Kluyveromyces lactis: one gene and its partner. The protein of the gene in region 1 purifies or fractionates together with the protein of each later gene. This does not show direct contact. Links are inferred from orthologs where the notes say so. Each region holds a gene or a part of one and is shown on either strand. Other genes may lie near its edges.

Region 1 (6,337 bases):
AACTACCAATTCAGCCATTATGTTGGCTATTTCCTGTATCATTGCGTTTGTGTTTTCGATCATAGGGATAGTGTTGGCTAGAATGTTCCCCAAATTCTTTATCATTGCAGGGATCCTTTTCAACATTATTGCGGGTTTGGCTACTGCCATTATGTACCTTTCGTTGAAATATTACTCTGCGGGTATTGTTTTCCTTGTTTTCACCGCTATTTGTGCTTTATTCTATTGGAGAATGAGACATAGAATTCCGTTCACTGTTGCCGTCTTAAAAACTGTTATGGATGTGATGAAAAGCTATCCACAGACATGGTTTGTGACTTTGATTGGAAGTATTATAGCAACTGCTTTCTCCATTCTTTTCTCAGCTGTTATTGTCGCTACCTATATGAAGTATGATGATAAGGCTAACAACCCAGGTTGCTCCACCAACGGCGGGTCTTGTTCCAATGCAAAGTTGATTGGGTTGCTTGTCTTGGTGTTTTTCTGTGGTTACTACATTGCAGAAGTCATTAGAAATGTCATTCATTGCACTGTCAGTGGTATATTCGGTGCTTGGTATTATTTTTCGAAATCAGATCAAGGTATGCCAAAATGGCCTGGATTTGGTGCTCTAAAAAGATCTCTAACCTACTCCTTTGGTTCCATTTGTTTTGGTTCCTTGATTGTCACTATCATCGAGACTTTGAAAGCAGTCCTACGTCTAGCAGTAGATGGTGTTATGGGTGGTGGCGGAGCAGATAACGGATGGATGCAATGTCTTGCACTAATCGCCAACTGGATCTTCAGCTTTTTGGAATGGCTTGCTCGCTACTTCAACCACTATGCTTACGTGTTCATTGCTTTGTATGGTAAGCCATATTTACGTGCTGCAAAGGAAACATGGTATATGTTGAGAGAAAAGGGTATTGATGCATTAATCAATGACAATTTAGTCAATGTCGCATTGAGCTTCTTCACCTTATTTACATGTTACATCACTACGTTATTTGCTTACCTCTATTTGAGATACACAGATCCTAATTACAATGACAACAACAACTTTACACCAGCCTTGATGGCATTCGCCTTCGTCATTGCTATGGAAATTTGCAACGTGATTACAGAGACCATCAGATCCGGAACTGCTACCTTCTTCGTTGCATTGGGTAATGATCCGGAAGTTTTCCACCTATCTTACCCAGAAAGATTCGACGAAATCTTCAGGGCATATCCTGAAGTCTTAAAGAAACTTTCTCACCAGAACGTTTAAAACTTTTATTTTTTAAGTATGTCGCTGTTGCAGTTTCCCTATAACCTCTACTTTTATGACTAATAACTTTCAATTAATACTATTAATCAATTTGACAATACTTATATATTATTTACCGTTTCACTAATGAAATAAAAGGAATCAGACAAAGTTTCATCATGAATCATAAGCGAATATTGTGAATTAGATCTTATTTTTCAAAGCGTACTCTTTCCTGACTTTATGTGTACATTCTTGAAGAAATGTGTTTCCTTAAATACCAATCGATGAAATCCTTGATATTACCCCTGCAACGTCTATAATCCCTCTGTATTAATGCATTACCGATGCTCATTAGTTTGCTACGTTCGTTAGATTCAATAGTTCCCATTTTTCTCAAAGCAGAGTCTAACCATTCTAAGCAAACAGATGGATCATTGTTATTGTTTTCTGTAGCCAATCTGAATATTTTTACAATTAAACTGATAATTTCCTGGTGAGCTCTACTGTCAAAATTAGTCACAAGGCCATTAATTAATGCTGTAACTATGTTTGAGCCATTCTTAGAGACTACCTGTTCCAATATTGTACATCTCCAAGCGTCCGGTACTTCGGTTATTGACGTAACAGAGATAGGTGGAGTTTTGAACCCCCAAGATGATAAATCATCTAAAAATCTGATCAATGTCATATATGCTTCAAAATTGTCGAGTTTTGGAAGACTCTCTAAATCCCATTGTATTAGGGACGAAATAAGCACAGGAGTGTTCATCATATGTTCAGGGAAAAACATTAAAAGATCATTACACATAAGGAAGAAGTCGTGAACCATTTCAAAGAATTTGTCTAATGTTTGCATTGACTTAAAATTATTGAAGAATGTAGAACATTGCTGACAGGCAAATTGCCACACTGCCTCTTTGACCTGTACATCGACAGGATAATATTCATCGTCACCATAAACGTAAATAATTGAACCAGAGAACCACAAATACGCTCCTAGACCACTTGTTGAATAACCTTTAGCCACAAATTCTGAGACCGCCGGAAGTATTGGTTGTGTGAATAGGTGGTATTTTTCGAAAACACGACGGAAGAATTTCATTGTTCTATCGACAATGATAACATTAGAGATCGCATATGCGTCCAATAAGTTAATTAACTTTGTAATATGTTCGGAAATAGAGGCAATTAACGGTTCTTCAACACCTTGTTCTGGATACTCGAATTTGGGGACAATGTTCTCCAAAATTGCATAAAGCAAATCAATATAGTGTGCAACTTTTGCAGAAAGATCAGGATCAGATGGGTTCGAGATGAATTGCTGAATGATAATGTCAAACCTCTTATTATGTTGGGAGGTGAATGAATTGAATATGCCACCAATCTTCGCTGTTTCCTGCTCATTTATGACAGAACTTAAGCCTTGACACATCTCAAACATAGAGTAGTTGTCAACTGCGCGTTCAATTTTCCAAATAAAATCCACTAACTGGCCACAATAATTAACAAGAAGTGACGAGCAGTCCTGACAGAAATACATTAATGCATTGGAGGCAGCAACAGAGAGATCATGATTTGATTGGCCTGCTTCAAATCCATTGAATATATAATTCAATTGGATTTCCAGTAGATCCTCATGTTTACTGGTCCATTCTGTGTATCTCGAGAATACGAGTATTGTAGAATAAACCAATTTGGGGTGAGTTAGTGGATGTATGCATAGTTGTTTGAAAAGTTGGGGTAGCACAACGTTTTCAGTATGAGAAATTTCATGAGCCATTGTACGAACAGCAAACAAGGCAGCCTCTAGTGGTTGCCAGACCGTGTTAGGATCTTCTTTCTGAAGATATTGGTTGATAAGATTATATGGTTGCTGCAATGCAACGGTTGAACCTAAGACAGCAGCACAAGACTTAAGTACATCACCAATGTTATACCTAAAATCTTTAAATTTATCTTCATCTTCCTTATTTTCAAAAACAGTTTCCGGATAATGCAAATGTGTAATCAAACCATTCGTTAAATTAATAAATACATCCTGATATTCTTTTCTTTGTTGAGCGTAACGTTGTAAAACTAACATTTGCCTCAAATTAAACCAAAATGGGAAAGTATACGAAACGATATCGAGGTCAGTGTTCTTGCAAGTTAATACCAAGATGACTTCAACCAATGGTTTGAATAAGGCAGGATTCTTTGCAAGAAAAACACACCACGCTTCGCCAGCTTCAACGAATAAACGTGTGAGTGGATCCATAATCTCTTCGTATTCTTCCCAGTCAGAAATGGTTGTGATTGGCAATAGCTTTTGTTGCAAAGCTAAAAGTTGCTCGTAAAGCGCATGTATGATTGTATCGTTGGCTGCGTCTCTCGTTTCTCTTAATAACACACATAAGCATTCTACTGCAGCTTCAAAAGAATCAGAATCAGTATCATATGAAGTATGCAAGACTTGGAACACGGTGTTTATCAATGGAGTCACTTGTAATACCTGTTCTATTGGAAATTCATAACACCACGATCCAAAGCACGAAATGATTTTAGAAGCAGATATGCCTTCAGTTCCGACTCTATCCAAACATGAAATCAAAAATTTCAATACGTCTTCTCCAATGTTATCTATAAGTTCGTGTGTTCTACACTCAAATTCATCTTGGGATAGAGGAGTGGATTTGATATCCAATGTTTCCTCTGGGAGAATCTTCAAAAACAGTAGTAACTTTCCCGGAAGACCATTTAGAGTATTAATAATTTCAACTAGCGGATTCCTCCAATCAAGATACTGAATGGTAAATCGGGCTAGTGCCACGTTCAACTGTGTTACTATGATCTTCTCTTCATACATAGCGATGAACTCAAAGAGCTTTCCCTTGAAACTCTCTAATTCGGTATTGACCTGGTTTAGATCATAGGTGACTTTGTTCACTAGAGTTTGACAAGCAAACATTTGCAACTGTAAGTTGTCTGCTTCATGCTTGCTTAATACTTCGAAGCAGATTTGCCATGCTTCTATGCTCTTTTGAAATTGCTCCAAAAATTGTAAAGCTTGTATCTTCTTCTCCTGTTCAGAAACACTTTGAGTACAAATCAATGCACTCTTGATATCTGGGATTTGATACAACATCAATATTGATCAATCACGTCGTTCTTGCTCAACGGTATCTGCTGTGGCAGTTTTTATGAGTTCCTTTTATAGTGCATAAGTAAGATCAAATGTTTTGGTTGATTCAATATATAAAATTTTTTTAATATGTTAACAATAATCCTATTAAACTAATATCAAACGAATTCAACATGGCACTAGTGACTGACATTAATAAAGGATAACTGCGATCTGATTATAGTTACACTAACATCGACCTTCAATACACCGAAAGATTCTAGAAAAAGTCTAAAATGTCCGGCTCTAAAGTAGGAGCTCCTATGGTACCTCCAATCAATTGCATATACAACTACCTTCATCATCAGACAACAGTAACGTTTTGGTTATACGAACAAGTACAGACACGTATAAGAGGCAAGATCAGAGGCTTTGATGAGTTCATGAATGTGGTAATAGATGACGCTTTCGAAATAGCTGTAGATCCGAAAAGTGGTAAAGAGAGCGATGATAAAGCAGTGTTTCTTGGGAGAATTATGTTGAAAGGTGATAATATAACACTTGTTGTGGCAAATTGATAATGCCTACTCAGAAAATGATAATAGGATGAAAGAAAGATGCTTAGAGTGTAGAAGCATTGATCGGACTCTGTCGTGTAATTATATAAGCCTGTATATTATAACGGAAAAATGAAAGGCACTGAAATTTCGATAACGGCGACAAGCACTATCAAGGCTAATAAAGATATATTGTTCGTAATCTTATGGATCTATTTACAATGTGTTGCTCAGATTGGGGAGAATACCTTAAGTTCATATGGTTTCTTTTGTGTCAGTGATATTATCTAAAAGATATATCTCAAAGGACAGAGTCTTTACGTTCTTCCGCTTGTTTAGTTAATTCATCCAATTTGGTATTAATTTCCTGGTTAAATTGTTCCATCTCACCAGATAAAAATTCCTTCACAATTGGCAAACCTACGTATTTGCCGTTGCCCAAAGTACCAAATAATGCATCCGAAATTTCACCTTCGTTTCTTGCTGTTTGTTGAGAAGTCGACAAAGACAACTTATTTCTTAATACATCTTGGTTGTCCGAGGCGAATGCCTTTTCTACACTGGCCACCAGTTGTTCTTCTGTCACAATGAAATGGTCTGCTGCATGACAAAGCTGTACCAAGTTGGCAAGTTTGCGTTCTTTAGCCTTGAATTCAATCAATTCCTTGTTGTGCTTTCTCTTCAAATCCAGAATTTCTTGCTCTTCGGCAGTCCTTTGTCTCATAAGCGGTTGATTCATAATGCCCTCCAATGTTGGAATGGTCAAGTTACTCGAACGTTCTTTGTTAAGCTCTTTCAATTCGGCTTCTCTCTGTTCTTGTAGTACCCTTTCTTTCTTCTTCAATAGCTCTTCCTGCTTTAATAATCTTTGTTCTTCGTTACGTAAAGACTCACTCAAATATTTTCTACGCAACTCTGCTTGATTCTGCTTCAATAACTGCTGTTCACTAGCAGCCGTAGTATTTTCACTCTTAGGTTTCACCGTGTTATAGATAACTTCCTCCACATCAATGAATTTCAATGGAGGTGGATTTCTATGAGATCCTTTTGGATGTTTGATACCCTTAGCATAACCGACACCATTGATACCCTTAGGCTTGGCTTCTTTGACTCTTTCAAGTATACCCGTTTGGTTCACAGTTGGATTTTTCAAGATTCGTCTCGTTGATGGAAGAATTCCGCTCTTATAGCCATACTTTGCTGCACCCTTACCCATTGTTTCTAATGTTTAAAAAGAACAAGGTTACAAAATTTGATCACAAAAATGTCGCTGGAACTTACAGACCGTGGATCAACCGAAACAAGATTCGTCTTGACTGAAATTTTGGCTACTTAATGCTATAATACCTGTTACTCAAATCACTTTTCAAACCTTTGTTCACGTAGAGAACCAAAAATTTTCAGATTCGCATTGTGAAAGAGAATTTTAATCACGTGACAATCATCTGT
Region 2 (5,122 bases), on another chromosome or scaffold:
TAACTGTAACTGTTCGATACCGTTTAAACTTTCGTTGATGGCTTTAGTTACACTTAAATGAGCAGCACCGAAGTTCCGGGCAAAAGCATGACCAGTCTCAGCCACAGACGCTGTGTTTGAAGATGCTAATGATCTTATTAAGACCTTTAGCTTTTCTTTGTGCTTATGGAAATCAGTTTCACATAAAAGTTTCTTCCAAAACTTGAAGATGTGATCGGTTTTGCTGTTCAAAGCCCATCCATCAACTTGGAATAGCAGCATAGGCTTACCAGTCTGTGCATCTGGATTTACAGATACGCGAGTTGAGACACCGCCAGTGTGCAATTTGATTTGTTCTTCAATGGTGGAAAACTCTTCAGTTGAAGTACCAAGGTTCGTCAATGAGTCTGCGTATAATGGTAGGAAAGGATAAAGTTCTCTTGGAATATGGTGGTTTAGTAAACGCTTACCTCTGACGTATGTAATACCATTGGTATCGGTAATACGATTTAAAACATTATCCTTCTCTAACAATGGGTATGTCTTTGAAACTCTTGGAATTGCACTAATTTGCAATGAAGGAAGGCAACTCAAATCCTCTTTGAGGTCCTGTAGTTCTTGCAATTGTTTACCACGTTCGAAAATGACCTTTTTGTCTTCTTCGTCAAGGAGCTTTAACTTTCTCTCCAAACGTTCTTGTTCCTCAGCATCAAGTTTCTGAGAGAACGTTTCTGAGCCCTTCATGGTGAATTTGAATACAGGTTTTGAAATCACGAATTCTTTGATTAAGTCTTTGAATAAATTATCACCCTTAGTGGCCCAATCTTCTTGGAATCTTTCTAGTGTCTCATCGAACAATAAAGAATCAAATGGATCAGTCTTGTTAACCCATCCTGGTAAAACCGAGTACAGTAATTGTAAACCGAAATCTGCCCTTTGGTCTTTCTTAGATAACTCTAATTGTTGAATGATTGCTTGGATCCTAGACTCCTCAAACGGATTCTGTAATACTTCTTCCCATACTTTGTTAATAACTTCATATATCGAATCCACTTCATCACATCCTTGAACACCAATAGTGATAAAGTTTGCAGCAGTCTGCGACTCTACACCAGTGTTAACTGAAAAGTCGTACGCCAGCCCACTTTCAATTAGTTTTTGATAGAAAGGAGAGGAATGTCCGTCTAATAATAAATTACCCAAGATCTTCAATAGAAATGTTTGGTACGTGTCTTCAGGTTTACCACAAATCCAAGTCACAGAGGTCTTGATCTGTTTATCCGGTGGTAACATAGGATCAACCTGTCCTTCGGTTTCTACAGAAACATCTTCTTTCATTTGGATTGGTAATAGTTCCCTCTTCTTAGAACCCCTTCTACCATAACCTTGATATTCTTTATTCAACCTCTGTAAGGTATTGTTCAAATCGAAGTTCCCGTATGTAAACGTCTTAGCATTAGAAGGATGGTAATTATTTCTGTGGAAACTGATTAAATCTTCATATTGAAGATCAGTCATTTTAGTTGGGTCACCACCAGAGTTATTCAAGGATGGATAATAGCTTTCTTGAAACTTAATCCAGAAATAATAGTTAGCATTGGATACTTGACCCTTCATTTCATTGTATACAACACCTTTGAAACCTATATCGCTGTTTGGATCATCAACCTTAGTGTGTTCAAGCCTCCAACCTTCTTGTAGGAAATCTTGCTGATTCAACAATGGATTTAGAGTTGCATCAAGGTAAACGTCTCTTAGATTAGCAAAATCCGTCTCATTAGTGGTAGCAAACGGGTAAAAAGTATAGTCATGACCAGTCATAGCGTTCATGAAGTTTGCCAACGATCTGTTTAACATCTTGAAGAACGGATCGCGAACAGGATACTTATGAGAACCGCAAAGAGTTGTGTGTTCCAAAATATGTGGCACACCAGTTGAATCCGGGGGATTGGTTTTGAATCCGATACTGAACACGTTGTTGTTATCATCTCTATCAATATGTAAATGTTGTGAACCGGTTTGGTTATGCAATAAATCCACGGCTGTTAGCTTTAGTTCAGGGACAGGAAGTAATCGTTTCACTTCATATCCGTGAAAAACGCCACCTACTGGGTACTTCCTCAGCGCCCGAGACTGTGCATATTTTGTGGCATAGTTACGAATTTGAAACATGGTATTTTATAATGCAAGAATTCTCCACCTGGATTTAGATTCAATATTCCTTCGCTTATATTTCAAACCCAGTTTTTTCGATCTTGGTATATTAATCAATGATTACTGTCGTCAACGATTCTATAACGATTTATTGCGAATAAATAGATAAAAGAAATGCAAAGAGAAAACGAACGGTCAAAATATCGGAAATATCCCCTCTAAACTGCTAGTTCGCTTGGCTTTTCGTTTCTTGCCTCTGAGATAAATTCGCTAAATTGACTTATCAATATGTTAAGAGACCTTTGGCATGCTCTAGTATCTTTCCTCCAGGATTCCATACTATCGAAGAAAAACAGCTATGAACTACGGTCTCACTTCTGACGAGTTAAAAAAATGAAAAACTGAAGTTCAAGTCACGTGATACATGTGTCACTCTTACCTTTCTGTATAACAATGGTAAATACAAGTAGCAATGAGAGCATTTGATCAATATAGCCTCTCAGATCGTATTTGGTAGGAGTATGACTTGTATGAGGGCTTATATCTGTGCATGCGATACTTATCAGCACTCATTCTAAAAAGACTTGTACCGAGGATTCCAGAGTTTTACCCTACCTACCAAACCTTGTTTGACACTATTCTCTTCTGTCTTTTCTTTTCCCGATGTTCATTTAAAATTTTCACTTTCTCCTATATATAAAGACATATTTAAAACCTGGTTTTTGGAAAAAAAATTCTACTCCATCATCGTTGAGTGGCGTTGCAGTATTGTTTTTGACTAAGATATTAGTGTTTCACTTCTTTTGCTCAAGGTACAACCAAGAACACTTACTCGCGAAATATCAAGATGTCTGACGTTCCTCCTCCTCCAGCTGTCGAAGAAGAAACCTATGAAAAGCCATATGAAAAGCCATATGAAAAGCCATATGAAACTGCTCCACCACCTCAAAGTTATGAAAATTTCAATAATAGAGTTGATGACGATGAAGAGCTTTCTGATACCAGACTATTTGTGAAGCCTTTCCCTCCAGATGTCACTGATGCTGAAATGAAGGAAATTTTCGAACCTTTCGGTGCTTTGAAGGAAATAAAGATTTTAAATGGGTTCGCTTTTGTTGAGTTTGAAGAAGCTGAGTCTGCTTCCCAAGCTATTCAAAACGTTGCCGGTAAAATGTTTGCCGACTACCCATTGGAAGTTGTATTTTCCAAGAAGTTAAAGCCAAGATTCAGAGTCATTATCAGAAACTTGCCAGAAGGCTGTGCTTGGCAAGAATTGAAGGATTTGGCCAGAGATAACCAGTTAGAAACTACTTTCTCCAGTGTCAACACCAGAGACTTTGACGGTACTGGTGCTCTTGAATTCCCAACCGAAGAGATCCTGCAGGAAGCCATTGAAAAGTTGAACAACATCGAATTCCGTGGTTCAGTTTTGGCTGTTGAAAAAGATGAAAACCCACCACCAATCAGATCCTCTCGTGGTCGTGGTGGTTTTAGAGGCCGTGGCGGTTTCGGTCGCGGTGGCTTTGGTGGCCGTGGTGGTTTCGGCGGTCGCGGTGGTTTCGGCGGCCGTGGAGGCTTCGGTGGTCCAAGAGGTGGCTTTGGTGGCCGTGGCGGTTTCGGCGGTCGCGGTGGCTTTGGCGGTCCAAGAGGTGGCTTTGGCGGTCGCGGTGGCTTCGGTGGTCCAAGAGGCGGTTTCCGTGGTGGCCGTGGTGGCTACGGTGGTCCAAGAGGCGGTTACGGTGACTTTGGTGGTCGTGGCGGTGGTTACGGTGGCCGTGGCGGTTACGGTAACAGAGACTACGCACCAAGAGAAGACTACCAAAGAGGCAGCGGAGAAGGCTACCAAGCGCGTGAAAGATCTCCAGTTAGAGATTAGAGGATTTCTGGAGTGCACAAATAGCTTTCATCTAAGAATGTTGTGAAATTACTTCAAGCATCAAACCGTGTGTCCCTACCATTATCATCGGAGTTGGTATTAGCTTTCTTTTGTCACTTTTAACAGAATTATTATGCTTACTATCTTAGGGAGTTATAAGCTCTTGTTTTCGCCCGTTGTTTTCATACTTTGTCGTTACACCAAGAAACCTCTGAACTTTACTTGGAATTTGAATTTACTCACAATTGTTGGGAATGAATTGAAGGTATCAACCTTGATGGATTGAGAATAAAAAAAAAAATTAAATATTAGTATAGGAAAAACCTCCCATCATCAGGAAAAAATCTTTTTACTTGTGGATCCGAACAGAACATCAAGGATCGTGAGGAGAAGGAAAAAATGATTATGTTTTTATAGTGGATTATTATTGTATTGTTTTATTATTTATCTTTGCGACTAGAAAAGAGGTCTTCCAGAGTAAGGAAGAAGTAGTGATGATCATGGAAATCAATTTCGCGAGGGAAATTGGTTGTGTTTTGTAACTGTGCTTGAAAATCAACCTTAACTCCAGCTCAGAATTGTTACAAATGGCACATATATGTCAGCGTCAAAGACTGCGCTTTTAAACGAATCAACAACTTATTGTTTCTTGCATCCGATCAGTGGATTTTGTCTTAGTCCATTTTCCAATTTGTGATTCTTAATCTTGCATTGCCGACATTACAGTGCATCAACCACCATTATTTTGTGTCTCTTCAAGAAAATGGTAATGTAGAATTGTCTTGAACTTGTAGGAGGCCTACGAAGGCCTTGACGTTATCCTGATGTGTACGAATTTGATTCTTTACAAACTGGGCGGTTTGTCGGATCAAACTTGTACCCACCTTAAACAAATCTTATTGATAAAACTGTTGTTATGCTCTAACATCGACTCCTAGTCACTTGACTATTTAATTTTATATCGTTATGTTGAATGACCAGCGTCATCACTCTCATCCTCTCCTTCGGAGCTGTCATCATTGTCCAATGATTCTATCAAGAGACTCCCGTTTGGCCATAGTTCTGACCTTGTTTTCAATTGAATGGATGGATCATTTGGAGTTTGTTTTCTAG

What was found.
Region 2: the proteins of MTR10 (region 1) and NPL3 purify together in Saccharomyces cerevisiae (affinity purification with western blotting, with the first as the bait; 4 studies listed by BioGRID). This does not show direct contact. The link is inferred for Kluyveromyces lactis from reciprocal best matches to the Saccharomyces cerevisiae genes MTR10 and NPL3.

The regions. Positions count from the first base shown.
Region 1 is NC_006037.1:203,585-209,921, reverse strand, and holds MTR10 (mRNA transport regulator MTR10), read right to left. Parts: upstream 4,356-6,337; coding exon 1,470-4,355; downstream 1-1,469. Other genes in the region: PNS1 (Pns1p), read left to right, coding at 1-1,249; mRNA splicing protein SME1, read left to right, coding at 4,628-4,909; mitochondrial 37S ribosomal protein PET123, read right to left, coding at 5,190-6,104. UniProt on the Saccharomyces cerevisiae protein: Involved in mRNA transport from nucleus to cytoplasm.
Region 2 is NC_006038.1:74,459-79,580, forward strand, and holds NPL3 (mRNA-binding protein NPL3), read left to right. Parts: upstream 1-2,980; coding exon 2,981-4,009; downstream 4,010-5,122. Other genes in the region: CYM1 (pitrilysin family metalloprotease), read right to left, coding at 1-2,151; UBX2 (Ubx2p), read right to left, coding at 4,974-5,122. UniProt on the Saccharomyces cerevisiae protein: Involved in mRNA processing and export. Required for efficient splicing of a large set of pre-mRNAs by efficient co-transcriptional recruitment of the splicing machinery. Remains associated with the mRNP during early steps of translation elongation.